Diceros bicornis minor: one gene and its partners. The protein of the gene in region 4 interacts with the protein of the main gene of each other region in a pairwise test. Links are inferred from orthologs where the notes say so. Each region holds a gene or a part of one and is shown on either strand. Other genes may lie near its edges.

Region 1 (7,193 bases), on a different chromosome or scaffold from region 4:
AAGACCAACCTTTGAGATTAAAACTATAACTGGAACAGGAAATATTTCTCATGCTTCAAGTTCCTGCCGTACACAAGAACAGAGGTTTTCACAAAGAATTATCTGCTCCTCCTCACCCCAAGTCACTGGAACTCATGGCCATGTGTGAGGATCAAGCTTTATGAAGCGAGAGAGGGGAGGAAAGTACTGGGTTGAGTAAATAGCAACAAACTTATCAGGAATATTGGACCCTATAAACAAAGAGATCAGGAAAAAATCATATCCACTTGCCCAAGGAAAAACCAGTGAATTCTCTTCCACTGATTGGTCCATTGAGACGCCACAAAGGAGGAAGGCCCATCGCTAACTGCCCAGAAAGTCGCCCCGTGAAGGAAGCTGAGAGAAATAAAGTGATTACGGGTTTTATCTCATATGTAATAAAGTTACCTTGAGCCCAGGATCGGGTGGGGTCACAGCAAAGACTTGTGAAGTAACAAAAGCCTCTCAAGTCGGTGCTTAGGACCGCAGACCAGCTTTGCTCAAAGTTGGAGAGATGATGGAAAAAACCACCCCCTCCGCCAGGAGTGGACAGGCTGAGAAACTTGTCTAAAGTGGTGTGACTTTGCCAATCCCTCCGGTTTGGAAGCTGCCTGGCTGAACGGGCAGGCATATATGCGAGAGCCCCGTGCACTGGTTATTACTAATCGCAAAATCCTCATGTGTTACAGCAGGCTAGGAATGAGCCAACAGCTGCTTTCTGCTTCGGTAAAGAGGCCCCATTACACTCTGCTGGACTCGAGTTCTCGTCCTTCTTCCTAGCACTGGTTTCCTGTCTGATTTTCTTCCAAAACAGGGAATTGCCTCCGCTCACATCCTGGGCTCAAAGCCCTAGTGACACAGATTATTCAATCGGGGCACTGATGTCCGGTCTGACTTCCCATCCAGGCCCCCGGGTCTGAGCAAAGCCAGGCCGCAAGACTGTAATATTTCAATGATGACTGCCACAGAAACGGCAATGAAAGGAACAGACAAGAAATCAAACGATCCCTTCCTGATTCCGGGAGGAAGGGAGGGACATTTGGGGGTTGTTGAATTGGAGAGTGAGGGAATGGGTATAAATGACTCCAACCCTTTGCCTAATGGTATTTGGATTCAATACAAACCACCAATGGGGCTGGAAAGCAAACAAAACCAAACACTTTTAGGGACAAGATTTGAAACTCATCCCGTTGGTGCTCATTACGGGGTGCACTGACTGCACCCTCAATGCACACACGAGGCTCTCTAGAGTGCGTGCTTACGGGGACACCAGAGGAAGTAGAGGAAAGACACAGAGAAGCCATTTAGGGGACTCACCAGGTATGGGGAATTACTTTGGAACAAGGTATCCCTCTTCAAATCCCAAAGAGAGCTGTGTTTCCATTTTATGCTCCAGCAGAGTCCACACCTCCCTGGAAGCCCACCCCAGCCCTTCCTGGCTGGCTGGTTTCTAGAGGCCAAGGCCACGGCCTTACCAGAGCAATTCGTGCTGCAGCCAACTTGGCTGGACACTCAGCAGATCCTGACTGAGGAGGGCTTCAGATTGTAGTGGCCCTGTGTGTTAAGCCAGCTCCCTCACAGACCTGGGGGGGACCTGCTGCAGAGGGCAGACACCCCACCAGCACCACCACCCCACCAGCACCACCACCCCACCAGCACTTTTCTGGAATTTATAGACACACAGATCGCATGCACAACCCCTCCAGTGCAAACCAGTTCGGCTGCTTTAGAAACAAGTTGTTTTTCTGCTTCCAGAACCGCCCAGGAGGTCCCTTTCTCCCACTTCTCTCTGCAGGCGTCCTTGCTTCAGGTACCCTGTACACTGAAGGCGCCCCTTCTGGTGTTAGTGCAGGCTCCTGGTCCGACCCTCACAGGAGATGTACGGGCGCAGGGCACACAGGCGCCGCCCGAGCCAATCAAGGCTGACCTCCTCCTTCCTGACCTTCGCACCTGATTCCCAGAGCGGCAACCCTCGCCCTCACTCCGGATTACTTGAAGGAGCCCAACCATGTTTCCGAGTCCTCAGCCTCTTTCAGAAATTAACTAAGACTGACGGAGAATGGGGGAAGAGAAGGAGAGAGCTTTCCCACAGGAATAGGGTCCCTGGATGTCGGGAAGAGCCAGTGGATGCAAAGATTTTTTTGCCTACCAGGGAGAGAGAGGGGAAGGGGGGCGGGATTCCTGGGAGAGAAGGTAACAGGCTCCTGGGAAGGTGGCCTGTAATTCCTGGAGCTTGTCTGGATGAGATGTAGTGTGAAGGAAAGGGTTTGTTGGCTCTTCGAGCCCACTCCCCGCTCCAGTTTAAAAAAAAAAAAAAAAAGTGGTGGCGTGGGGGTAAGAGGGGTAGGCAGGACAAGACGAAAATCCAGACTTTACAACAGTGGCACGTAGGAATTTTCTCGCCAAATCAAGAAAGGGAAAAGAAAGCAAAAGAGGCAGTGGCGGCGAGAGGAGGGCGGGGGTCCGCCAGCGCCGCCAGGTGCATTCGGGCCCCGAACCTACCTGCTGGCCGCCGCCGCCGCTGGAGTAGGACTCGGCGTGCGCAGGAGAACCGCTGCTGCCACGGGAAGAGGTGTCAAAGTTCCCGGGATAATCCTGGTACATGATCCGCGGTGGGGGCCCGAGAGGAAACAGGGTGTTTTTCTTCCCCCGCCCTCGCCGCGGCCGCGCACCGGCTGCTGCGCGCTCGCTCCCTGCCGGCCGCGCCTCGGGCTCTAGTCTTCGCTCCCGGGCTCTTTCCCCTCGGCGGCGACCGCGGACGGACCGGGAGGCGACGACACCCCGGGAACAGTGCCGCCCGAGTGCCTCGCACTGCACTTCTTTCCTGCTCTACGAGCACCGCGGGACCAGTTGTCCACCCAGTCCCTCCCTCTAAAAAGTCGGCGCGTCCCTCAGTCCCTCCCCTGCGCGCGCCCTCCCGCCCCCGCGCGCAGCCGGAGCCCAGCCGGGACCTCCGGCCCAAGCAAAAGCTGGAAATTAAAAAAAGAATAGGACCCTGGAAATTAAAAAAAGAATAGGACCCTGGCAATTTTCCCTGCCAGATCTGGGGGCCCTCGATTTCAGTCAGGACAAAAAAGGCGAAAAGAAAGGCTGCCCGCTTGGAGAAACTTCTATTTCCTCCTTTTAGAAAGGGAGCTGAGAATAAACTTCCTGTGGCCGACTCGCCGCCGGAGTTTCGGAGCGGCTCGGACACTTGTCTAAGAGAAGAGGGCAGCCTGCGCCCGTCCCGCGGCCCGTGGGGTTCAAGCTGAGCCGGCGCTGAGAGGGACGCGGCCCCGCTCCCCGTGCCGTGGCTCCGGCGCCCGGACCTGCACCCCTTCCCCGGCGCCCGCTCCCGGACGGGCCAGTCTCGCCCGTCCGCGCCTCTCTCCCCCTCTCTCTGTCCCCGCCGAGCGCCGCTCGCTTGCTCGCTGGTTCGCTCGGAGCCCCTGCGCTCAGCCCGAGATGAGTCACTACAATGGCACGAGTTCAACTCCACACTCTTTATTCTCCAGCCCCCACCATGTGGATTCACTCACGTCAACCCCAAGACTCCACCTTGCAGGGAGGAGCGCGCGGGGAGGCGGGGGGAGGAGGAGGAGGAGAAAGAGGCGCGGGAGGAGGCGGGCATAGAGCTCCTCTCCCTGCCCCGGCTCCTGGCCGCGCTGACGCCAGCCGCACACTCCGCGCGAGGAAGGAAGGCGGTGGCGGGGGTGGGAGCCGACCGCTGGCGCGGTTTGGGGGAGCCAAGGCAGCCCTGGCCCTTCCACACCCCCGCCCACCCCCCGGGCCCAGCGCCCTTGGTCTGTTCCATTGGCGCACGTTGCCAAAGATGGTCATTTGCGTTAGAGGATGCGAGTGCGGGTTCCCTTGCTTTCGGGTGACGTGGAGGGAGAGGGATTCCCTCGCCCGCTCCCGAGCGCGCCGCGGCCTCCCCAACCCCCCTGCACCGCCCTGGGAAGGGGCGCGGGGCGGGGCCCCCGAGAGCGGCCGCGCGGGCCTCGGCGCCGGGTTTTAGAAAATAATCACAGTCTTGAAGAACGAGACAGGCGGTTCAGTGCGGCGCCACCGCCAGGCCGGGAGCCGGGCGCGCAGAGCCGCTCGCAGGGAGGGCGCGGCCGCGCGCGGTCGTCGGCGCCCTGCGCGGCGCCGGCCGGTGCAGCGGCCGCCCCGGGCGCGGAGAGTTCCCGCGCCGCCCTGCGGCCGGGTCCTGGCGGGGCGCGACGCCGCTGGGCGAGGCGGGCCTGCCTGTTTTCCCTTCGGTGGCTGGCTGCCCACACTTCCCCCCCTGTTTTTTTGGCCCTACAATTAATTTGTTAGGAGTAGACTTGAAGACGAAATTAACCAGTCAAGACATTCCGGCCGCCCTCTATGCCGGGCGTTTAGGTCGCATCTAATAAGAGTAATCGGACATCATAGGCAAACTCCAGACTGTTATGTATTTTAGAAAGGGCGGGGGGTGAGGCCAGGGAGAGGGTGTGCCCCAATGTTGTTTTCAGCTGTTTTGGAGCGAAGTTCAGGGAGCAGGTAGTCCGGGCTCCTGGGTCTTCCCGCCTCGCTGGGCGGGGCGGGGCGAGGTGCGGGGTAAAGAGCACAGGCCTTGGAGTACGAACGCCAGGTTGTGCTATTCGAGCTGTGAGACTTTGGGCGAGTCCCTTAACCTCTCTGGGCCTCAGTTTCTTCCTATAAAATGAAGGGGTTCGGACAGATGACGCTCTAAGGCCCTTATCAGTTCTGGAACTTCAATCTTTCTGCAGAGATGATCCGGAGGAACACTGTACCAGGAGTCAAAGCTTGGGTTCTGGTCCAGGCTCTGCCTTAGCCTCGGTTTACCCAACTCTAAAGTAGGGTCATCTGCACCCCCACAAGGTCCTTGTGAGGACACAACGGCAAGATGAGTGAAGACTGTGAAGAGCTATGCGCTGTAACACATCACAGTTCCAGTCCTCAGTTTCCTTATCTGTAAAGTGGGGGTGTTGCTAGGCAAGAAAAATAGAGCCGGGAACTCAAAGCTTTCCCTGGGCTCTATATAAAGCGCTGGCGTTTCCGGGACGGCTGGCGGCATCTGGCCGCCCCAATGGCCCTAAAATACGGTAATCCCAAACAATACTCGGGGTCATTGTTTACAGCTATAAAACACTTTCTGTCCTGAGCTCCATCCCCAAGGACGCACGCGGCGAGGCGAGGCTGGCCAGACTGCTCGAACCTCCGCCGCCGCCCTCCGGGCAGTCTCCAACTCTGCAGACCCAGGAGAGGGGTGCGGGGCGGGCGGATGCGCACACCCGCCGCGGTGCTTGGGTTCTTTTTTTTTTCATCCCTGCGTCCTGACTGCCTGCGTGTTTACGCGCCTCTCCCAGCAGGACTGAGTAAATGCAGTCCTTTGACGCAAAACCGATCAGCCCTTTCCCCAGCGGCAGCGGCAAAACCCAGAAAACTGGGGGTGGGGACTGTGTGGGGGGGGGGAGCGCAGGAGAAGAAATCGTGACACTTTCTCACTCGCCTCTCCGTCTCCTCCTGCGCCACCCAGGCCCCCGCCGACTTAGCCAGGTCTCGCGGGTGGTGGGGGGGGATGCAAAGGTTGGCATGGCCGGGGCGTCCAGGGCCCTCCTGGGAGCAGCCGCTTGTCGAAGCGGCGCGAACAGACGCGCTTTTGGTTTTCCTTTGAGCAGCAGCGGCTGCCTGACCCTCCCCCACCCCGCCTCGAAAATCTGGGTGCTTCTGGGTCTCTCCCACACAGTCCTTCCAGTAATGCGGGGGGGAAAGGAGGAGGGGGAAAGGGAGCCGGAGCTTCCTCCGCGGCCTCCGCCGTCCCGGGCGCGCCCAGACCCGGGCGGGCGGCGCCGGGAGCGCGCGGGAGGGCGAGCGCACCCTCTCTCTCTCGTCAGCCCCCGCCCAGCCTGCTCCCCGGCCCTTTCCTTTCTTGTGGGTTCCCGTAAAGCCCGGCAGCCCCGAGACGTCTGCAGAGCATCACGGAATCCGTGCTGATGCAAGTCGATAGCCTCCCCTTGGTGCGCCCCGGCCTGCCTTGGAGCGCTTTGATCCTGGCCTTCCCCTGCTCCAGAATTTGTGCTGGCTCCCTCTGTCCGGCTGGATGCCTGCCTTTTCGCAGTCTGTCCTCACCTTTCAGTCCACGAAGCGCCAGACACACAGAGCTGCGCCCTGGTGCTTCGGGGACTGAGCGGCTGGTCCAACTGGTGCCTTGGCCGAACTGTGGCTGCCAGACCGAGAGTTCAGCCTCCAAGCCCGGTTCACTGCCGCCTCCGTGGGGAATCATTCCAGTATCACCCAGTTAGAAAGGATCCTCTGGCTCCCCAGACTAACATCTAAGAATAGAGCCAACTTTTATTGAGCGCTTACCGAGAGTCAGGCACCACGCTGAATCCTTTGCAGGGATTGTCTCATGCAATCCTCCCAACAAATGTTTGAGGTGAGTATTATTCCCTGGTTGCAGATGAAGAAAGTGAGATTAAGGAACTTGTCCAGGAGAACTGATTAGTGGGTTAGTGACCCAGTTGGAAGTGCAGCTGGGCCTGTATGACACCAGGCTGTTCCTCTTACCCGGGACACTGCATGACTGGCCTCCTACTGGAAATGTCTTTGTTTCTCTCTTATTGGTCTCCAGAAAGCATGGACTTTATCTGGTGCATGGCTTTGTCCTATATTTAGAGGTGCTCCTTAATTCTCTGCTGAACTACTCAGCTAAAGAAAGGTCAAGTCAAGTGAGGGAAGAGGAGGAGGTGAGCTGGAGTGGGAAGAAAAGGGTATCTTGGGCTGTCTTCTCATTGTCTCTCTGGGTCTCTGGGACCTCCCTGCCCTGCATTTGCCAATTTCCTCCTGTGTCCCTCCAGTCCAATGTTTGGGCCCTGACTTAAATCCCAGAACGACCGCCCACTCTGGGCTGCACTGGCCCCCCCACCCCCCCCACCCCCACCCCCCCACCCCGTCTGAGAGCTGGACAGTTCATGAAGCCCTTTCACATACATGCACTTGTCCTCACACAACATCCCTGCCAGGGATGTGACAGCAGTAGAGGTGACTCTGGATTGCCGAAGAGAAGGCTGAGGAACAGAAAGGCAAGGCAGCCTCCTCAAGACTCCCGAGCCTGTGGTTGTCACAGCCTGAACTCAAACTTCTCTCACCTGACTTTACCCCAGCGCTCTGCACATGACCCATGCTCCCAGCTTGACAGGTCAGAA
Region 2 (7,650 bases), on a different chromosome or scaffold from region 4:
AATATATTTTAGAACCTTACTGTCCCTCTGGAGTTTTACTCTCAGCTTGATTTAGACAGTTGGTCACCTGGTTAGGAACTAACAGGAGCTAGGAAAGATTTAACAAGTGAGAAAAAAGCCCAAAGAAGAAGTAGGGAGGATAAAAACAGAGGAGATTAAGAAGGAAAAGAGAGGGAGAAGGTCTGTGAATCATAACGTAGAAGCCTCAGGGTCATCCTAGATCTTGCCCACGTTATTACCAAGCCCTGTGGATTCTGTCATCCAAATATCCCTAATACCCACGGCCTCCTCTTCATGTTCACCGCCATGCTTGCTTCAGACCTTCGTGACCTCTCTCCTCCTCACTCTCTCTGCCTCCACTGTCATCCCCTCCAAACTCATTTTCTACATCACTCCCAGAGTGATCTCAAATGACAGCCCTAAACTGGTCATTTTCCTACTGAAAAACTTTTGATGCCTCCTCTATGTGGAATGTGGAAAATAGCATGAGCTTTGAAGACAGATCACTCTGAAACCTGGCTCTGCCACTTACCTGCCCCAAATCCGGCAAACTTCTCAATCTCTCTGCATATCACCTATCTCAACTTTAGTGATAATACTGTAACAGTCAGGATTCCTTTGGTTACCAGTGACAGAAAACTAACCAATACTCACAAGGCAAAAAGAGAGAGGGGATCTATTAACTCAAGTGACCAACTGAGGAACAGCAGTACAACAGGGTCTCAGGGATAACCACAAGCAGGAACTCACAAATAGCCTGTGTCATCTCTGCCTTTTTTGGGGGGGTTTAATGTCTATATTTTTGCTTCACTCTGCATTTTAGCTTTATTTTCTTGGATTGGCTATTTCATGAATGTCTGAAACACAAAACATGAATGGCCGACAGCTTCCAGGCTCACCTTTTCCAGTTTAGTCAGTAAAAGAGGGGAGATTCCTGTTTTGAAACCCAAATTTAAACCTTTCAGGAAGGGGTCTGACTGTTCCATCTTGGATCAGGTGCCCACCCACGGCTAATCAACAGGGTTCAGGGGCTGGCTGTGTGTGAAGATGGCAGCTTCCATTTAAACCACATGACCACAGAGATTAAATTACAACATATAATAGAAGCAAATGGTGCTGTTCTGCATAGACAAATCAATAGACATTCTCTACAAATTTTATCTCAGATAGTTATTTTGGGGGTGAAATAAGACGACCTCCACAAAGGAGCATCAACTCCCCAGGACAGTGCCTGGGCACAGTACACAGCTACAGCACGCAGGAGATGCTCCACAAATTCTTACTTCCTCCCTTCATCACATCCTCACTCCCAGAGCCACTGTTTGCCTTTGTCTTAGTAGAAAAAAAGACCCCTCTCTGGGTGGCTGCAGCCCTACAGGCACAGGTTTGACAAACAGAAGTCACATCTGTGATAAGAAAAAAGTGCCCCTCCTTCCAATGAACACAGCCTTGAGCCAGAGTCATGACTTTGTGGGTAACATGTGAGCCAGATTTCTCCTTTCAGCTTTGTACAGTGCGCAGACTGCCCTGCCTGGGAGGGGTCCTACATGCCTCTTAACAAGGCTTTCAGAGGCCCATGGACTGGCTGCATTATACAGTTCCCAGTTAAATACAAACCAGTCCCCTTGCACCACTAATCCTGCACTCTGTCCACCCTAGATGGCTCACCATCCCCAAGAGGTTGTGTGCTGTTCCTTCTTGCCCTGGTGCAGGGCTGTCTTTCCCAGGTATTCTCATCTTATTCCTATTAGCCTCTTAAACCCCAGGCCAACAACACCCTTCTACAAATCCTTCCTCAGCACACCCAGAGCTAGGTATTGACAGCCTCATCTGCACTTCCAGAAGCCTGTTCTTTATCCTCTACCACAGCACTGATCATATTATATAGTAATTACCTGTTTGCTCATCAGTTCTTTTCAGCAACTGCCGCTTTCCAGCTCTTCGTGCCCTGCTCAGGAATAAAGCCTGGCATCGAGCAGACCTCAATACATGCTTCTTAAATGAAATACTGGATGAATCAATGAACAGCAAGAAGTAGAGCAAAAAGAGGAGAAGGCTAAGTAGAGATTTCACTCTTCTCACACGGACGTGTGAGTATTTTCACATTTGCGGTTGACACAAGGGGAAAAAACCAAGCACAGAGCCTATGGGACGCTTAGAAACAAAGTTGCTTCCTGTCCTTCAAATTTTTTTTTTTTTCCTCCATTTGAGGCATTATCTTCTTTGCTCGTAGGAAAGTGAGCGTGGGCTGCCCTGGGGCACCCAGGATAATTCCCCACTCCCCCTCCACATACACACTGGGGGAATCAGCCCCGAGTTCCAAGTATTCCTGGCAGTCAGTTTTGGCTTCTCTATGGGCCAAAGGGATGAGGTCACCGTCATCAATGAAGTCACCCTGCATGATTCATCCCACGTCAGTCCCCCACTTGGAGTGTTCTGATGTTCCCAGAGCATCCAGAACTTGGGATCCTCGCTATTTTTCAAGGTTCTGGAGCTGATCTTCCAGTTCCCTAGGTCCCTAGTAAATGTCTGCCCCTCTGGGAAGTAGTGTAAGCACTGGGAGTCCTGAATGGAGGAAGCCTCGCAGAAGCCTCCATCCTCCAGTCCTGGGACAGACCTCATCATCCTTCATGGAGGCCTTCCCTGTGTCTCCAGCAACTGCCTCTTCCCTTGTCCCAAAGCTTTTACCAGGATCTCTCAGGACACATTCCGAAGGGCCCTAGAATCCTCAAGGGTGAGACCTGATCTCACCCTTACGGATGAGCTCAATTTATGGATGAGAAAGCTGAGGCTCAAAGAAGAGAAGTGGCACGCTCACAGTAACACTGCTAAGTGGTGTCTGAGCTGGGACCAAATGCTGGCTGAGTGCATTCCAGGAGCTCCTTAACCTCTTCTGATAGACCTTCCTTTCAGAATACTAGTCCCAGCAAATGCTGCCTGAAGAAATGGTCCAGTAGACAAAGGGGGCAAGTCTTCCCTTCTTCCTCTCTATGAGGAAGCAGCAGACTGGCCTCAATCCAAGATCTGATTTCAATCTGTCATTCAGTACGTACAAAGTGTCTTCCGGATTCATTGCATAATCTAAAGCAGCTGGCAATGCAAATACCTACACTCAGATGCAAATGGAGGGGTCTGGTGAGATGCTCACTGTGACTCCACAAGGAACTTCCAGTAATCCAGGAAGTCTTCCTGAGACAATGGAAATCAGATTTGGGGTTTGAGATTTGAAGCCTGGGAAGTGAGGCATGGGGACACAACAGTGAGCACCTCCAAAGTGTGCTTCAAGTCCTTGAAGGCTGGATAACCACTTCATCCCCCTATGTCTCAGTTTGCTTACCTACAACCTGAGGGAGATCTAAGGGAGATGTTCCAGTTGACCTCTGTGCTGCCTCTCAACACAGCATTTTCCAATCCTGTGAATCGATGACGGGAAGCATTTATCTCATGTCAGCAAAGGGGAAGGGGGGCGGGTTGTGCTGTCAGCGTGGAGTGCACCCACTGTCCCCTGCCCCTCTGCCCCAGTGCCTAATGTTCAGAGCAGCGCTACTGGCCAGTGAACGGGACCTGGCCAGACGGCTGTTTCCAAGCTTTGCCCAGGCAGGGTGGCAGGGGTTGCCACCTGATCGCAGGCCAAGTCTTGGAGCTAGAATGTATCACTCCTCAGGGATCACAACCTTCGAGGGACACTCGGGACCGTAAGGGGGCCTCAGACCTCAGAGAATGTCGCCTCCAGGGGGAGCACAGGTACACTTGCCGCACCAGAGCCAGCAGGGTCTCCGTTTTCTGACCGGTTCGGGGGTGTTGCAGTGGTTCAAGATGTAACTCCCCCAGTCACCAGTTCATAGTAAATGATTCAAGCTCGTGCTGTAAACGTCATGAGATGGTCGTGGTGGAAGGCGGACCAAGCAATAAACCAGTCCCTACTTTCCAGCTCAGGAACCACCCCCGCCCCTCGCCCATCACCCCGCGCGCCATGAAAAACATTTTTCTTTTAACTGTCTTGGCCTTTCTTCCCGATTTCTAGTTCTGTTGTGCACTTAGAGGCCGATAGGATGGATCCTGTCTTCCGGATGGAGTTTAAATATATATGTATAATTTTGCATGACTATTGCGTCATCGTTGGAGTTGTGATTCCCCAAGAGGCCTCCTCGTCTTCTCACGGCATCGGGGCCTTTGGACGCTTCCGGGCGCTGCGGGCACTTGCGCGAGGAGCCCTCGGCTCATCCCTAGTGCTTCTCTCCCGGCCCCCTCCCCCAGCCTCATCTTCCTCCTCCTCCCTCCTCCTTGGCTCCTCCTCTTCGCCCCGTCCCCTACCCTCGCGGGGAGTCAAGCTAGCGTGAGCGGGCAGGGCCGAGTGGTGGCCGCGGGCGGGGCGCGGGGCGCGGGGCGCAGAGCCGGCGGGCGGGCGCGCGGGGGCGCGGGGAGGGCGGCCGGCGCACGGGGGAGGCGCCTGGGCCCGCCCTCCTCCTGAGCCGAGCCGGGAGGGGGCCCGGGCGGGCGCGGGGCGGGGAGAGCCGTCTGGCCCCTCCCCTCCGCTGCCCTCCCCAAAGTTGCCGTCTCCCCCGGGGCCGGACAGTCTTATGATCCAGAGGATCCTCCTGGGGAGGCCGGGCCGGGGAGAGGGCGCGGGCTCGGAGCGGCGGGGGCAGCGGGCGGGCGCGGCGACCCGGGCCTGGGCGGGGATCGGGGCAGCGACCGAAGCAGCGGCAGCGCCCCGGGCCCGCCGCCCCCTCCCCTCGGGCGGGGGGAACCGCTGCATGGGGCCGGGGGGGCGGCCCTGCTGCGCGGAGCGGCGGCGGCGGCGGACCCCCCAGGCGGGCTGGGGCTGAGCCCGGGGCCGGGGCGGGGGCTCCGGGGGGACCATGCCCGGAGGCCGGCCGGCCGCAGCATGGCTCACGGGCCCGGCGCGCTGATGCTCAAGTGCGTGGTGGTCGGCGACGGGGCGGTGGGCAAGACGTGCCTACTCATGAGCTATGCCAACGACGCCTTCCCGGAGGAGTACGTGCCCACCGTCTTCGACCACTACGCAGGTAAGCCTCGGAACTGCTGACTAAGGGGCCGCTCCCCGGGCCGGCAACTTTGGAGCAACTTTGGCGGAGCCCCCTCGCTGCTTCCCCCGAGCGCGCTCCCCACCCGCCCCCCGCCGCGCCCTCCGCCGGGCGCCGGGTCCCACCCCCAGGGTTTGCCTCTGGCGGTCCCCTTCGCCTGCAGATCCGAACCCCCTTCCTACCCGCCTTCCCCACCCCCGCGCCCAGTCCCGGCTCCCTGCACTTTCCAATCCCCTCGGCGCCCTGGGCCGACCTCCTTGACCTTCCCACAGCCACCTCCCTTACTGCCCCAAGTCCCCCGGGGAAACATTTGGGGAGACCGGGCGAAACGTGGCTACGGGACTCGGGAGAGGGGAGTGGGGAGCTGGGGGCCGCATCGCACCCCGACCTCACGCCACTTCACAGTGAACCCGGCACAAGGGAAATGGAGTGACATCTCCTGGGGAGCGCCCGCCTGCTTCCAGCTGGGTTGGGAGAGGAGGGTCCTGGTGGGGAGCGAGATTGCCCCAGAGCTTGGATAATTGTGAGCTTCTCTCCCCGCCCCCACTTCTGCCCTTGCAGTCAGCGTCACCGTAGGGGGCAAGCAGTACCTCCTGGGACTCTATGACACGGCCGGACAGGTGAGTGTCTTGGCCCCTGGCCGACACCCCCTTTCCTTTCCCCAACTCAGGGAGGCTGCGAAGGGCCTTTGGAAACTGAGGTGTCTAGGAGGGAGGGTGTGTCTGCGAGAGGCCCCTCTGTGTCAAGTCTTTATTTCTTTTTTCAAGTCAGCAAATTAGGAAAAGGATAAAAAAAACCCAACCCAGCGCAGCCCACCCTATGTGAACCCCTGAGCTGTGAAAGTTTTTGCCTGTGTGCACCTTCTGTATGGTGCCTGGTGTGCGGGTCCCAACTCCTGTTGCAAAGTGGCAGCGGCCAATCGTGAAGCGCCCTTATTTTTAGTTGCAGATGACCAGGTCTCCCCTCACAGCCTCTGTCTGGTCCCTCATTGGTGAGTGGTCTGCCTGCCCGAGGAGCCTGATTGGTGGGAAATGGCATCATCTAATATGATGGGAAGGCATTTGGTCCTGGTTATGTTTATTACAACATCATTGCACTCTGGGACTCGAGTCCCTGAAAACGTAATTTGTGGTGTTACCAGAGGACCACAGGGAAAAAAGAAAAGAAACAACAACCATCCAGCCACTCCCAGGGGCGGGGTGGGAGAGGAAGGGTTAGGAGTTCAGAGTGATCTTGGAGGAAGAGCTTTTTTTGCCCCAAGGAAAGCCAAGTGACTTTGTCTGGGTTTTCTTTGGGAGAGATTATTGTGCAGAAAGAAAATGCACATTCCTCCTGGCAGCCAGCCTCTGACCAAATTATCTGCAAATTAGAAGTGGCTCCTAAAGAATTAAGGTCTCTTCTCTGTCTCTGTCCCAGCTCCACCCTCTTCCAGACCTACTTTTGCTGTGGGGTTAAGATGATTGTGTGTGATGAAGTTTTGCAGAATCCAGCCCTGTGATTAGACCTAAAGACTTGGACAGAAGTTTCCACATGTCATGCAGACTTGAGTCCTTGAGGACCTGTGAGAAGCTGAGGGGCTTAGTATCTTTGGGGCATATCCAGTAGTACAGTTTCCTTACCTGTACAATGGGGTTTAAACAATTCAGACCATTCCCCTGTGCATATATTATATGCCAGATGTTTCCCTCTGAGTCAGGCGCTCACTAGGTAGCTGTTCAATAAAGGGAAGCTGTTCTTTGTAGCTCTTCTAGATTTGGATTTCAGAATTGTGGTATCAGGGTAGATTCTGAAAAATGTCTTGTTGGGGAGTGCCTTGATGTGCCCTCCGGCTTCTAAACTGTTAAGTTAGAGGAGTATCTGAGGATAGAGAAACTGTTGGCCGTGCAAGATCCCTGAGGCTGCCCGCTTTCCCCAGACTGACCCAAGTCAGTCCGACCAGTTCCTGGACCAGTTCCTGGCTTTCTGGGGCCCTTTTAGTGGCCTGCCTTGTAGTTGTTACTCCTACCTTTTTTGGAACGAAGGGAGGGCAAGAGGCAGAACTCACTCAATCCAATGAGGCCAACTTTGAGGCAGTACAGTTGATAAACATACAGGTTGAAATTATTGGTTGAAAGGAGAGAGATTTTTAAAAATTGTCTCTAATTTTCACTTCTCTCACTACCGCCCTTCTCTTCTCTCTTTTGCATGTCACTGTGACCATTTTTTGACCACAACCTGTTTTCAACAGGACATGTGTATGTCAGAGCTGTTCTGTGCACATTCAAACTCACCTAGTATTTACTGAGTTCATTCTACATATCAGGCGTGGGGCAGCCACATGCAAATATTATTTTCTCCACAGAACAACCCTGTGCCATAAGTGATATTCCGTCTTTGCTGATGAAGAAACTGCGGCTCAGAGAAGCTAGGTTGCTGACCTAAGGTCACACAGCTACTGAGCAGTGTTGCTGGGACTGGGACATGGGTCTGAGTTTGCCGCCAGTTGAGGTGCTTATATCCACAGGAAGCAGTGGGAGGTCCTGAGATGCCACCCGGAGTTGATTGGATTGCTTGTGTGTCTATAGACATGGTACCTGGAATCTTCACAGGCATTCTCTGAGTG
Region 3 (7,644 bases), on a different chromosome or scaffold from region 4:
TTCTTCTGTGGACCATTCATCCATCTGCAAACATTTGTTGAGTCATTGAGCGCTCGCCAGGCGCTGTGCTAGGCGTTGGGTAAATAATGGTGGACAAAATAGACATGGTCTTTGACCTCATGACATTTAGAGTCTCATGAGGGAAAGAGACATTTCAGGAGTAATGGGCCATAAATAAATACATAATTTTAATGAATGCTGTAAAGGACAGAAAGGAAAATGGGCTTGGGGGTTGCAGATGAGACCACCAGGGAAGGTTTCTCCAAAGAAGTGAAATGAAAGCTGACACTGAAGGATGGCAGGAAGCCATGCTGCCTGAAGGGAAGAACATTCCAGGCCAAAGGGACAGTATGTACCAAAGCCCTGAGGTAAGACAAAGCTCCGCCAAATTCAGGACGTGAAAGGAGGTCACGGGGTGAGGTGCAGTGGGTGGACCTGGGGTGGAAGAGTGGCTCAGAATGAAGGAGAAAGGGAGGAGGCGGGCCCTAGAAGCTGGGGAATGGATGCGTCTGGATTTTATTCCAGGGTTGAGAGTGCGTGTGTGTGTGTGTGTGTGTGTGTGTGTGTGTGTCTGTGTGTGTGTGTGTGTAGGGGGGGTGACCTGATTCTGTTTCCATCTTAAAAACACCATTCCAGCTGCAGAGCAGAGAACAGACTGAAAGGGCAGAGTGGAAACGGAAGACCAGTTGGGGGCTCCAGCAGGGGTCCAGGCTGGGATGGTGGTGCTTAATGTAGGTCAGGCGGTGGTGGAGAAGATCCAAAGGGTGGGGTAAAAGAATCTTCCCAAGAAGCAGTGGACAGCATAGATTCCGGAACCAGGTTGTTGAGGCTCGTGACCCCAGATCCACTGCTCATTAGAGCTGTGATTCCAGGTGAATTGCTTAACCTCTCTGTGCCTCCATTTCTTCTTCTGAAAAGGGAGCTAAAAGTAATACATTGGAGGGCAAAGCTCTTAGATAGAGCCTGGCACCCAGTGAAGACTATCTGTGTGGTAGTTGGCGTTATCCCTGCAAATGGATTTGAGAGAGAGGCAGGGTCTGAGGCTACGACAGTTTTCTGCATTGAGCTTGGAGGAGCCCCTGACTTGCAGAGTGTCAGAAGCAGACCTTTAGTACTTATCAAAAGCCTTGAAATGTGCATAGCCTTGATCCAGCATTTCCCTCACTGGGAACCTATCCCCTGGAAAGAATCAAGGACCCGTGCAAAGATCTGATTACAGACATACCCATCAAAGTAGGGTTCTAATGGTGAAGTATTGAAAACTACTCAATTATCCAATAGTAGGACATTGATTAAATAAATTGTGCTTCATTCATATGAAAAGACATTCTGCAGCCTTTAAAGTGATGTGATATGGGCCAGCCCAGCGGCGTAGTGTTAAGTTCACGCACTCTGCTTCGACGGCCCGGGGTTCGCAGGTTCGGATCTCGGGTGTGGATCTACGCACTGCTTATCAAGCCATGCTGTGGCAGCTTCCCACATATAAAGTAGAGGAAGATGGGCACAGATGTTAGCCCAGGGCCAGTCTTCCTCAGCAAAAAGAGGAAAATTGGCAACAGCTGTTAGCTCAGGGCTAATCTTCCTCACACAAAAAAATAAATAAAATAAAATAAAATGATGTGATCAAACATCTATTAATATGGAAATATGTTCATGATATGTCATTAAGTGAAAAGAACCAGTAATAAACCATATTACAATATAACCCAATTTTCCAATATATCTGTGCAGTGGAAAAATGTCTGGAAAGACAGATATCAAAATGTCAACAGTGGTCATCTCTGGGGGTAAGATTATAGGGGTTTTGTTTTGTTTTTCAATTCTCTTATCTGAAAATTCTCACTTTACCACAGTAAGCTTGTATTACTACCCTTAAAGATTTCCCCGCTCTCCCCAAAGCAGAGCTACATTTTCTGAAGATCCATGGCCATGGTAAAGGGCTATCAAGAGGGATGATCATTGTTGCATCAAGCACCCGGCCCTTATCTGCCGTGGTCCCTCAGCATCTTTGGTTGTTTCCGGATCAGCTGGTCAGACACCAGCCTCTCCAGGAGAGACTCTGGCCTGTATCCACCCCCCATTCACCCTCAAGCAGGGACATCTCAGCTACACGAAGTGCTGAACATTGCCCGAAAGCATCATCTCAGTCTGTGACCGAGTCAGTCAGCCAAATATTAATTGTCTGTAGCCTCACCCCAATGTTTTCAACCTCAAGAAGAGAGAGATGAAGAACTCGCATTTTTATAGCACGTCACAGTTTACAAAGGGCCCCAGTCCTTGCTAGGATTGGAGTGCAGTGACTCACATCTAGATGATATAATTGCCTTTTATAATTTTTTCCATTTGCCAGAGGCCAATTGATTCTTTAAAACCGCAGCTGTGAAGGAGGCAGGCTAGGGAGTTGAAAGTGCGCAGGCTTTGGAACCAGACTTATTTGCTGTGAGGTCTTAGACCAATGGCCTACCCTCTCTGAGCTTCGTTTTTCTCTGTAAAATGGGCTAATAATCCCACCTTACAAGGTTGCTGTGAAGAAGGGGTAACGTAACGTGTAAAAGCACAGCAGGCGCTCCATACACAGTTAGCGTGATACTTTTATACCCATTTTACAGATGCAGAAGCCAAGGTTCAGAATGGTGAAGTGACTTGCCCAAGGCTTCACAGCTAAAGAGTGGCTGAGCTTGAAAGAAGATCCCAGGAGCCCAGCCTTCCAGGCCAGCGTTCACCCACTGGGCCCTGGGGCCCCGCGACCCAGCCCTCCGTGACTCTCTCTGGCTCCTTACCTGCTCGCTCAGAGCCTCCTCCACCTTCTCCCCGCGCCCTGCAGCGTGTGCCCTGTGCTCGCTTGTGGCTTGGTTTCCAGGCAGTTGTGGGCGGGTCTTATTTGCATGGGTCTTCGGCAGCTCCTGGCCAGCTCTCTCTGTTTCAGGTTTTCCTCTTCTTCCTTCTCATGACTTGAACTGTCTGCGTGTTAGACGGGAGATAGCCTGGAAGCTGTGGTTTCATCTTCCTCCTGTGAGTCACTCTGGCTCCTTCTCGGAGGGGGTCAGAGTCCACTTACCCTCGCAGGCCTCTGTCCTGGGTTGGGTTGGTCTCCTGCCGTGGTCTCTGAGTGCACTCGCCCTCTGCGTGCTGCCTTACCTCTTCACTCATGCACAGCCTTCCTTTGACGGGAAGGTAGGCTGCCTCTAAGCCACTCTGCCCTCGGCCCAGACAGATCCTTCCCTATTCCGAGCCCCGACAACCGAAATACAAAGGGCTCTTGCAGAATATTAAGAAAAAGGCAAATAATCAGGGAAGAGTCATTTAAGCATAAGCATGAAGCGCCTGTGTTCTCAATCAAGTGGGACTTCTGGGTCAGAGTCAAGTGCTTGCTCAGAATCCAGACTCTACTTACTAGCCATGGAGACTTGAGTGAATTAGTTAACTCGAAGCCTCAGTTTCCTCACCCGAAACTGGGCATAATAATTTTACCTACTTGATCTGCAGATTAAATGAGATAATCCATGTAGAGATCATAATAACACAGTGCCTGGTACACGGGAACACGCAGTAAATGTTAACCAGAACGATTATTATGATATACGATCAGGCAAATCACAAAGAAATGCAAATGGAGTATCTATGTAATTGTTCAACCTCATTTGTAATTATAGAAATTCAAATTTAAATGAGATACTCATTTTTTTCCTATCAGACTGACAAATATTAAAATAACAGTAGCTAAAAATGCTGCTATTATTTAAAGGAATAATAGCAGTTTTCTTTGTGCTTTACTAAAGCTTCTGATCTGTGACAGTGAATGCTCCCAGCAGTCCCAGGAGGCACAGGGTCCAGCACAATATGGGATACAGAAAATCCTCAACTTATCCTTACTCTTCCACAGATAAGGAATCAGAAGCTCAAAGTGAGTAAGGGGTCGATTTGCCCAAGAGCTCGTGAGAAACAAGTTAAAGGGGGCCGGCCCCGTGGCGTAGCGGTTAAGTGCGCGTGCTCCGCTGCTGGCGGCCCGGGGTTCGCCGGTTCGGATCCCAGGCGCGCACCGACGCACTGCTTGTCAAGCCATGCTGTGGCGGCGTCCCATATAAAGTGGAGGAAGGTGGGCACGGATGTTAGCCCAGGGCCAGTCTTCCTCAGCAAAAAAAGAGGGGGATCAGCATGGATGTTAGCTCAGGGCTGATCTTCCCCACAAAAAAAAAAAAAAATACAAGTTAAAGAACTGGGACTACAGGTCTGGCTCTGAAATCTGTGCCAGTGCCTTACTTACCACCTGCCAGAAGCGTGTTCACGTGGCCCATCTTCTGTTCCTTCTCATGCTCTCTGTACATATGGTCCTCTCCTTTTGTTCCTTTACTGACCTTTTAAAGGGGTTTGGAAAATAAACAACAATACATAAATGTATTTGACTGGTGATATACTCAAATACTCTAGTCCCTTCATTTTGTGTTTTTAAAATTTTATTTTATTTTAGAATCGGTAATACTTTCACGTTGTTCAGCAGGAGAAAGGTTTGATATTGCAATGAAAATGCTCTTCTCCCAGCCGCCTAGTGTCTCTGAACATTAAGGTATTATACTCTTCATTTCTTGTGTATCTTTCCAAAGATGTTTTATGGGTACACAAACAAAACACCTATGGTGAAACATCTGTGTATTCCTTTGCCTCCTTTTTATGCAAATGTGCGTATTGTCTACACCGTTCTGCACCCTGCTTTTTTCACATAATGCTGTATCTGAGTTCTCGTTCTGTATTAGTCCATAAAGAGCTTTGTCAGTTTTTAAGTGATTGTACCATAATTAATTGAATGGCTGTACCATGAATTACTTAACTATTCTCCTATTAGTCTAATCCCTTCATTTTAAATATGTAAATATTGGATGGAAAAATAAATGCTGAACTGATTACAGGATTTACATTAGCCTAGAATTGTGTGAAAATAAAGTTGTGAGTTTCGGGAAGTTTTAGATCCCTAAAAAAGATCTCTAAGCAATTTTCCTGCTCTTTCTGAGCCAGAGACAGAGAGATGTCTTGAAGCATGCCTTGGTGGCCTGGAGATCGCCCTCAGCTCTGGAATTCCCCCTTTCCAACATCATGGCTGGTTAACTAAAGTTAGTGGGGATTCAAGAAGACACCGCTTCAGCCCAAGGGATCTGTTTGTATTTGAGAGTTTGGAAGCCATGCTTTCTGGTTTGGCAACATTCTTGCAAAGCATGAGGAAGTTCATACACTTTGACCTAATAAAATAATTTCCTGGAGGTATCCAAAAGATATATGTGATATTGTGGTTTATAATAAATAATATTTGGTCATTGTCCTGTTCCTGGCACACAGCTCCTAAAACCCTTGGAATTTCCTGAGATGAGAGCGATAAAGCTGTCTTTTGTTTTGTTAATGAGGCAAATTTTGGAAAGCTGCTAGGTAACCTAACGTTGGGGGCTGGTTGCCAGGGGAACCAACCAAGGGATTAGAGAGTTGGAACTGTCAGCCAGGTTTACCCCACCCACCTCCTGGGAGGGGAGAGGGGCTGGAGACTGAGTTCAATCACCAATGGTCAATAAGTAAATCGATCATGCCTATGTATCTGAGGCTCTGTAGAGACCCAACAGGACAGGGTTCAGAGAGCTTCCAGGTTGGTGAACTTGTCGAGATTGAACTTGGGGAGAGTGGCGCACCTGGAGAGGGCATGAGCGCCCTTTCCCCATCCCTTGCTCTATGCATCTCTTCCGTCTCCCTGTTTATCTGTGGCCTTTATAATAAACTGGTCAACGTAAGTAAATATTTTCTCTGAGTTTTGTAAGCCACTCTAGCAAATTAATCTAACCCAAAGAGGGGGTCTAACCCATCTATAGCTGGTTGCTCAGAAGCACAGGTAACAACCTGGACTTGCGATTGGCATCTGAAGCAGGGGCCAATCTTGTGGGAGCCCTTGACCTGTGGGATCTGATGCTATCTCCATGTAGTTGGTGGCAGAATTGAGTTGAATTGTAGGACACCCAGCTGTTGTCGGAGAATTGCTTGGTGTTGTTAAACACACACACATCAGAATTGGTGTTAGAATCGGAATATGCCTGTATCTTTCGATTGAGTGAGGATGTTCATCGCAGTTTTATTTTAACCACAAATGACTGAAAACAACATAAAAGCCCAACTAAAGCACATCAATTAAATGGAAAACTACATAATCGTGTAAAATGATGTAGAAGAATTTGTACTGACTTGTGGAAATGGTCACAATACACTGTAAATGGCGGGGAGAGCAGTTTACAAAACACTGTATGTAGTATGAGCCAGATTTTGTAAAACAAAATTTTTATATAAAGACTGAAATGCTGTGAGGCAAAAATGTTACAGTGGTTATCTCTGGGTGATGGGCTTACTGGTATTGTCATTTTCTTCTAATCTATATTTTCTAAATTTTCATTAATAAATATGTATTACTTTTGTAATACGATAGGAAAATTCAGTTGGAAAGTAAGTCAGGCTGAGTTTTCTGCAACCAGGGAAACCAAACTTAAAAAGAAAAGCAGAGAGGACACATAAGAAATCGGTCAGGGCACTGCAGGCATTGAATAGAATAAACCATGGCCCTTCTCCGGGTCACCAATTGTCTAGTGAGCAAATGCATTATTACAATGTCTCTGAGTGGTCCAGGCTAGGGAGTCCTTTGCAATGACTGGAAAATTTTTCCAGGGAGATAGCCAGGAGAGATAATTAAGCGTCTCAGGAATTTGAGTTGAACAAATTTAGTTCATGCCTGGGGGGTGAGGTCGGCCAGCCGGAAAAGCACCTCGTCTAAGCTGTACTTGGAACCGGATGAGTGAAGAGTCATGAGACAGGGGAGCCCAGCCAAGGTCTGGAGGGGCGGTGCAGGGCAGTACGGACCCATCGGGGGACGAAGAGGCAGCAGAAGGCGGGGATGAGCAGTGGAGGATGGAGAAAGGCAGCCATGAGGCAGATTTGGGTCAGCTGGTGATCAGTGTTTAACAAGCCCCCCCACCTCGCCGAGGGCAGAGGGCAATCTCCCTGTGGGGCATGACGTTGTCATCCTCAGAACCTTGCCTTAGGCCTGTCTGGAGTTTAGGACAGTCCCAGCAGCGTAGGCATTTCCTGGAAATTGTTAGAAATGCAGAACCTCAGGCTCACTCCAGACCTGCTGAGTTAGAATTTGCATTTTCACAAGATCCCTAGGAGATTCAGAAACACAGTAAATCATGAGGAGTACTGATTTAGGAGAAATATCCCCTACATATGCTCCTTGACTTATCCTGATTACATTCGTCTCCAGATTCATAAAGATTTCCCCAGGACTTGACACCTTGAAGTAGAAATCCTAGACAGGGCTGGGTCAGTCCCAACCTGGGAATGGGCATCACACTGCATCTGCTTTATGCAGCACCTGAATTGGTTTTACAAGGTCACAATCCCTTAGGCCAGAGATGTTTCAGAATTCAGAATTTCTCATAGTAAAGAAGATCATATGATATATTTACCATATATTAAGTAACTCTCCCAGTGGGATCTAGGGCAGTACCCTCTAATCAAATGCATTAATATTCTGCAATTATTATAAATATTGACACCAAAAAGAATAAACACCGTAAGGTCAGGTCAATTTTGGCACCAAATTTAATGAAAAAACTTTGCCCT
Region 4 (6,905 bases):
TCTCAAAATATTCTGATATTCTCTGCCCTCCCCATTCCCTTATAGATAGCCCTCTCCCCAAATATAACTTACAGCAAGAAGCAGTCACATAGATGTCATTCATATTTAATTTTAAAATGTAACCTATGACTTTTTTGCATCAAAATTGTTTTCCTAACTACTATATTAATATTAAATGTGGTGTTACCTAAAGACACAATAACTGGAGAGAAGAAGGAGTAATCTGGAAGGATATTTAAGACCAATTTAAATATAAGCTACCCATACTGGAGGTATCTGTGTCTTGATTATAAAGATATTTTATTATGGTAATATGGCTTAAGGTATTAGTCTCTAAAACCACTAAACTTTGGTGCACATTTGTTATACCAAACCATAAGTGGTCTCAAATATTATGTTTTAATTTCCATATCCTTAAAAAAATAGAATTCAAGAAATAAAATAAAATAGGGCAAAAAGTATGGAAATTTTTTCAAAGATTTCAAGATCTCAGACGACTGATAACAGTATACGGAGCAACCTCTGAAATTCTGTAGATGATACAGCAGCAGATCTACTTTCAAAGGCACTACTGACAATGAACCTCACTCTTTAGCAATACACAACTGATTCCATGAAAACTGTGGAAATTGCTACATGTAGAAGGATTAACCCCACAGACTTGATAAGTCAACTGTAACTGAAAAAATACACAAACAACAACAAAAAAATCACATTAGTCTCTCCCCTCCCCATTTTCTAAGATCTTTAAATCAAGGGTTTCAGGCATGTTGAAAAAATATGCTCACATTGTGATAGGTTAGCATTTCTTATTTTGAGAAATAACACCACCTCCTAAGCCAGGCATGGAGCCAGAATATGTAACTATAATTTCTGAAAAAAAAGAACATGCATAATTTATTATAGCTCTGAATATTTATCTAAAATATTTAAAGATGAAAAAAATTGAGCACCACCTCCTACTCACAGAATGATCCTTTCTCCAAAATTAGATTTTATATCTGACATCAAAATATCACTCTTTCAAGTTTCCTTAAGTCATTAAAGAAATGAATTAGATATTGTTTCACTTTTTAAAAGCTGTTTATTCTCAGTAGATACTTGCAGTTGTAAATGATACGGAAGTTCTCATGTGGTAAAAGCCACTCTTGCTCTGTTACTTAAACCTAAAGTACTATTTCTAAAAACCAACAAATGCAATTTCACTAACTGAGAAAAATAAATATCTTTTAGAAATTACCCCTAATCAAGAAATCAAGAGACATTTTCATAAGAAGTGTTTAGCTTCCTACTGGCACTCCCACTTCAACCTTTTCAAAAAGGATGGAAGAAATGAACAGTCCTTTCAGGGGAGAAGAGTCACAAAATCTCTGATACGCAATTCTATGCTAATCAAAGATGAATTATCCCACCTTTTTCATGGCTAACTGACAGGAAAGAGAAAGAATGCTAACCACAAGCAAGGAGACGATGCATATCTGATACTCATATTGATTTGGATCCAATGGGCACTTTCAAGCATTACAACTGATAGCAATGATGATTTCTTAGTAAATCTAACGTTCAAAGGACTTTGTACATCACTGATTATCCTATTTATATCTATTTAAAATGAAGACCCATTCTCTTATTTAAATTATCTAGTTAGAAAATGCTCTTTATGTAATAATGTTAATCTATCATGATTTCTAAATACTGTAATAATGTACTAATTTAATTTGGTGCACAATATGGTAAGTTTTTTTGCTTTTTTGGAACCATCACCATCCACCCACACCCACAACCAAGATTAGAGACTTAAGCAAATGACCATTCTTCACATACTCTAAAAAATAAATTCAGATTTTGGGAAATATAGTAAAGCATAAACAAAACCTCAATGTTAGAAGTCATTTAAATAATTGTAGGGAGCTCTGGAGGTATACGCCTGTAATTTAAAGACCAACTGTAAACCAAGAAGGATACTGATACTATTTAGTGTTTATCCCACTAAATCTTCCTAACAGCATTGATCAAATTCCCCTAACTAGTTCATGCATGCTGGTAAGAGTATGTCTGTGTGCAACAACAGACCTTGACCTGAAATGGTTAAAAATAATCAGGAGTGTATCTGTCTGGTGACATAAATACCTCGTTTATCAATGTGAGATCTAAAAACCCAAATGTTAAAGAGTGGGCTAAGGTATTCTTATGACAGAGAAGCTTTGAGCTTAATCTTAGGTTTGTTAATGTAATATGTACAAGTAGGCTGGTGTAATTAGTTCCTGTTTCCTCCTCATAGAGATACTAGGAAGGTGGATGACACGGGGAGACCCACACGTCGATCTACACCCCTTTTTCTATTCCAACTTCACCTCACTCCTTTCCTTCACACATATACACACACACTCCCCCGTCACATTTGAAGCCCAGGTGCCCTAGTGGGCAGTTTTCTAGGGTCGCTTCCCTGGTGCGTTAAATAGAATCTGACGACCGGGGTTGAATGCCACCCCCTCCAGCGCCCGCAGCTCACCTCTAGCTTGTGGTTGATTTGGGACACAGTCTGGGCTTTGTGGCAAAGCTGCGCAAAGCAGGAGCTCAGGCTGGTCATCTTCTGTCGCCCCTCATAAGTGATGTCCGCCTGGTCCGGATCGATCTCGCCCAGGAGCAGATCCACATCCACGAAGGCCTTGTCGAACTCCTTCTCCAGCACCTCCAGCCATCGGAACATGGATACCCCGCCGGGGGTGACCCCCACGGCGCAGGAGGCGCCCCCGGGGCCCCCTCCGGCTCCTGCCGGGCACGGGCCGCCCGCCGACATGGCGCTGTCCAGGGCCTCCCCCAACTGCTGCTGACCCCCCCCCGCCCACCCCGCGCGAGAGGAACTGATGGGACTGCGGGGACCCCCGCGCACGCACGTTCCCTGGGTCCCCTCCCTTCCCCTCGCGCGGCTAAGGCTGGCAAGGCAGCCCCAGAGCGGCAGCAGCAGCCACACTGAGGCGGCGGCGGCGGCACACGGAAGACGCGGGCCGTCCCACCTCACGACCCGCCCCCGCTGCGCATGCGTAGCGAAGACCCAGACGGACGCAGCCTGGTGGGGCGAAATGGGCGGGGCTAGGATGCGACCTTGGCCTATGAAAAGCCTCTGCTTGGGACCCGCCCGTCAGCGGCCATATTGACTACTGGCAAACTGCAGTTTGAATACTCGAGAAACAGAGGCGCTTGATATCGGCTTCCAAGTTGAAACGGCTCGAGGAAGAGAAGGGCATCCACGTCGCAGAGAGGAACGACTTCCGCCCGTCTGACTTCACAGTGGGCAGAGGACGTTATAAGTCGTCCGGGAAAGTTTCTGCGGTGTCGTCCAGGGGCAGGGAAGGGAAAGTGAGGAAGGGCGGTCTGAGCATGCGCAATGGCCACGTTTTACCTTTTCCATTCCACTTCCTGTTCAGGGTGAGGCGGGTAAGGTGGGTGGGGTGGATGGACAAACTGGCTCTTCTTGGTAAACCAGGCCCTAAATTCTGGGTGGAAACTGCCTAGAGCTGCACGTTGAAGGACAGCGGCTGCCCAGGTTTTGCTGAATTAATACAATACATTTTGTCTTGTAATTAAGAGGCAGGCTTGGGTTCAAGTATTAAACCCTGCCACATATTAGCTGTGCCGTCTTCATTGTAGTCTTTAATCTCGAAGCCTCAGTTTCCAAAATTTGCTACGCTCAGTAATGAGGTCAAATGCTTAGCTTCAGTGCTTGGCACTTGCTATTCCTTATTACACCGCAGGTCATGCATTTCCAAAGCAACTACTTCAAAAGGTGTACTTATTTCAAAAACTGGTACAGTGTACCCACATGTGACATTTCAGAAAAACACAATTATGAAGACTCACATATTCATAAATATATTGAATGCAGAGCCCTGTTGAGGCATTGGGGACACAAAAATAAATGAGACATGACCCTTAGTCAAGCAGAGCTCACAGGCTAGTGAGTCTAACCTGCATAGCTACAACTTAATTTGAATTTTGCAGTACCCTTGGGAGTGTTTAGCAACTGCTCTTTACCATTCCACCTACTCACTTTTAACCCTCTTCTACTCAAGAGTAGCCCGGTCTTGGAAAAGGACGGAGAAACCAGTCTGATTAGAGAAGGCTGGTAGAAACTGTCTCTCCTGCATTGCCTAGGGGAATATTTTCCTGGCCGACTACAGACTCTTTTATGATCTGTTCATAGGACAGACTCTTCCAGTTAATCACCACCAAAGCCAGCACTTTGTGCCCCTCGCCAACGCAAGGCCAGTGAGGAATAAGAAATCATAGGTTTGGTTTGCTGTCTGGAGACTGCAGGGCCGACTGGTTAACATGGGTCAATAAAGTCCTTTGACTTAAGCAGACTTAGCTAAGCAAAACTAAGGGTGAGATCCTGGCCTTGAGCTTAAATAGGCACCTTCATACAGGTTTTAATACACAAAAAAATAATGTAAAACTAAAATTTGCATCTTTCCCCATTCCTTTTCAAATTAACTTTATATTTCAATATTTCAGTATTTGCAAGAACATCAGTACAGCTACCAAGTTGCCAGCCACTTTCTCTATACATAATATAGTTAGCAATGCGTTTTCAGGAATTTGAAGTAAATAATGTAAAATTGGAGGGAGGGCACATACATGGAATCACAATAATAGGAATAGCTTTCAGTTGTTGAGTACATACTGTGTATTAAGCATTGTGCTATTTGCTTCAGTTCTTTGACCCTCACAAAATCCTGTGAGGAAGCTATTATCACTTTTTTATAGATGAGCCACAGAGAGCTTAAGTATCTTGGTAAGGTCACACAGCTAAAAATCGACTGAGGTGAGATTTCAATTTAGATGTCTTTTTCTCCAAAGTCTTAGCTGTTAACCATGGGTTATATAAGGAGGAGGGAATCCATTTCTTCTTGTATAAATTACCAGTATAATAAATTGGCAAATCAGGCCAAAAGTTTTTTCAAAAAAGTAATTTCTTCCTAATTATAAGCCGTATGCAAATCTATTAATATATAAGAAATGTTCCTTAAAAAAAAGTAATTGTAATACTCACTATTACTTATCACTCTCTTTAGTTTATACTACACTTGAAAATAAATTTCGTTTCTTTAAAAAAATGTCATTCCACTTCTTGCTGTATTGTGTGGGTTCAACTGAAATGCATTTTAAGTATTTATATGTTTTGAGTGCTCTGATCCTTTTTGAAGATCTCCATTTCCAGGATTGTAGAACCCACCTCCATTTCTGTTTGTGATCTTTACAACTCCAACAAATCACACCCTCTGTGCCTCTAAATACTTTCATCTCATATTGTCTCTTCTCGTTATCACACCATGTACCAGCTGCCACATCCCTATGTGCTTGCTATCTTGGTTCTATGTGACTATTTCAAATACTCATGAGGTGCCCTCTATGTGGACATTCTCATTTGCCCACTTTGATTGGGGTTTTGCATTTCTGCAAGTCACAGACCAACACGGAAGTGAAGAGCCGAGTTTGATGTTCAAGTGCTGCCATCTGCTGTCAGCAAGCTCTATTACATTTACTGCCTTATCTTGACTTACTCTGGAATTTGGAATTGTATGTAATCTCAATACTTGTGGAGTTTATTTTTCTAGAGATAATAAAATCATGATACTTCTATTTGCAATTGCATTGGCATAAGTGCAATGTTGCTGTTTCATGAATCATGCTTACATGATTAAACATTTCTACTATAACTTAAATGTGACAGTCCTGTTTTAGGAACTTATCCCTAGAGTTTTACCACAAGGTATTACTAAGAATAAATAGGGGAGAGACTGAGGAAACTGGGGAAAAAGGGAACATGCTAAAGATTTCTCTGGTAGGTACTGGTATTTAGCTGTGAGGTTAGTGTAGAGTTCAAACATTAATTGCAAAGACACCGAGGTGAATGGCCATAGAAGATCTACCTTGGAATGGAGAACGATACTGCCATTTATTGTACTCTACTGTGTACCAGGTCCTGTACTAAGCTTCACACATTTCATTTACTCTCCAGTAATCCAACCAGGAAAAGGAAAAGGTAGTAATTGCTGTTGGTCGCTATGAACAGTTGTATGATGAATAAAGAAAGCCAAGGAAAACCCACTACCATTTTACTGGAGCAATGTGGGAAAAGTCTTGGAATATCATATGCATGTGTATTATTTATATTTATTGATATTTACTAACAATTTGAAATTTTGTGATAGACATGCTAAAGAAGTAAGTTTGGGCATTCCAAAGAGATTTATTAGCCTCATTCTCCTGATTATTCCTTTTATATACCCTTACGGAACAACTGTTTGCTCTCTTGTTCTTAAAACTTGAGAATTTTGTTGCAGTGATTTAGGTTTAGCTCAGACACCTCTTCCAGGAAGCCTTCCTTTTTTCTCCTCATGTGGAGCTATGGACTCCATTGCTGTTTAGTTTCCTGCAAATACCTGCTATAGCACTTATCATATGTTTTTTGGAGCCCCTTAAACTGTGAGCTCCTTGGCAGCAATAACTGTATCTTGCTATCTTTGAATACCAAGTCCTAACACAAGACCTGGGCTATAGTAGGAATGCTGAAAATATTTGTGTGGTCAGTTCAATAATTAAGATGTTACAACACTCTATGTAAGAGATTCTAAAAGCAGTCACTTTCCAAGGTATGCCTTTGATACCTGCTAGAGAGCATAGCTGAACATATTTTTATATTGGCTCAGGGGTTAGGAATATCTATAAAATACTTATTCCTTTAAATTCCAAAGAATATTTTTCCCAACTTAAAAAGAAAGGTTCATTTAACAATAATCTGGTTGATTTCACTAATAACTCCAATATAATTTAGGCTTTGAGAATTATTTTACCTAGTCCATAGTTAAAATTTATGAGATAACTATGTTTTGTATCATGTA

What was found.
Region 1: the proteins of GOPC (region 4) and FOSL2 interact in a two-hybrid assay, tested with the Homo sapiens proteins (2 studies listed by BioGRID and IntAct). The two-hybrid records come from large-scale screens. The link is inferred for Diceros bicornis minor from reciprocal best matches to the Homo sapiens genes GOPC and FOSL2.
Region 2: the proteins of GOPC (region 4) and RHOQ interact in a two-hybrid assay, tested with the Homo sapiens proteins (2 studies listed by BioGRID). The link is inferred for Diceros bicornis minor from reciprocal best matches to the Homo sapiens genes GOPC and RHOQ.
Region 3: the proteins of GOPC (region 4) and RNF183 interact in binary tests that used the Homo sapiens proteins (3 or more experiments, as listed by UniProt). The two-hybrid records come from large-scale screens. The link is inferred for Diceros bicornis minor from reciprocal best matches to the Homo sapiens genes GOPC and RNF183.

What each region holds. Positions count from the first base shown.
Region 1 is NC_080751.1:54,562,245-54,569,437, forward strand, and holds the start of FOSL2 (fos-related antigen 2), read right to left. Parts: upstream 3,017-7,193; 5' UTR 2,623-3,016; coding exon 2,521-2,622; intron 525-2,520; exon of another isoform or gene 427-524; intron 1-426.
Region 2 is NC_080751.1:38,720,991-38,728,640, reverse strand, and holds the start of RHOQ (rho-related GTP-binding protein RhoQ), read left to right. Parts: upstream 1-4,864; 5' UTR 4,865-4,888; coding exon 4,889-5,030; intron 5,031-5,609; coding exon 5,610-5,668; intron 5,669-7,650. Other genes in the region: basic salivary proline-rich protein 2-like, read right to left, coding at 4,157-4,864. UniProt on the Homo sapiens protein: Plasma membrane-associated small GTPase which cycles between an active GTP-bound and an inactive GDP-bound state. In active state binds to a variety of effector proteins to regulate cellular responses. Involved in epithelial cell polarization processes.
Region 3 is NC_080767.1:21,550,168-21,557,811, forward strand, and holds the start of RNF183 (E3 ubiquitin-protein ligase RNF183), read right to left. Parts: upstream 3,003-7,644; 5' UTR 2,781-3,002; intron 1-2,780. UniProt on the Homo sapiens protein: Acts as an E3 ubiquitin ligase catalyzing the covalent attachment of ubiquitin moieties onto substrate proteins. Triggers apoptosis in response to prolonged ER stress by mediating the polyubiquitination and subsequent proteasomal degradation of BCL2L1.
Region 4 is NC_080762.1:18,495,081-18,501,985, reverse strand, and holds the start of GOPC (Golgi-associated PDZ and coiled-coil motif-containing protein), read right to left. Parts: upstream 3,007-6,905; 5' UTR 2,801-3,006; coding exon 2,513-2,800; intron 1-2,512.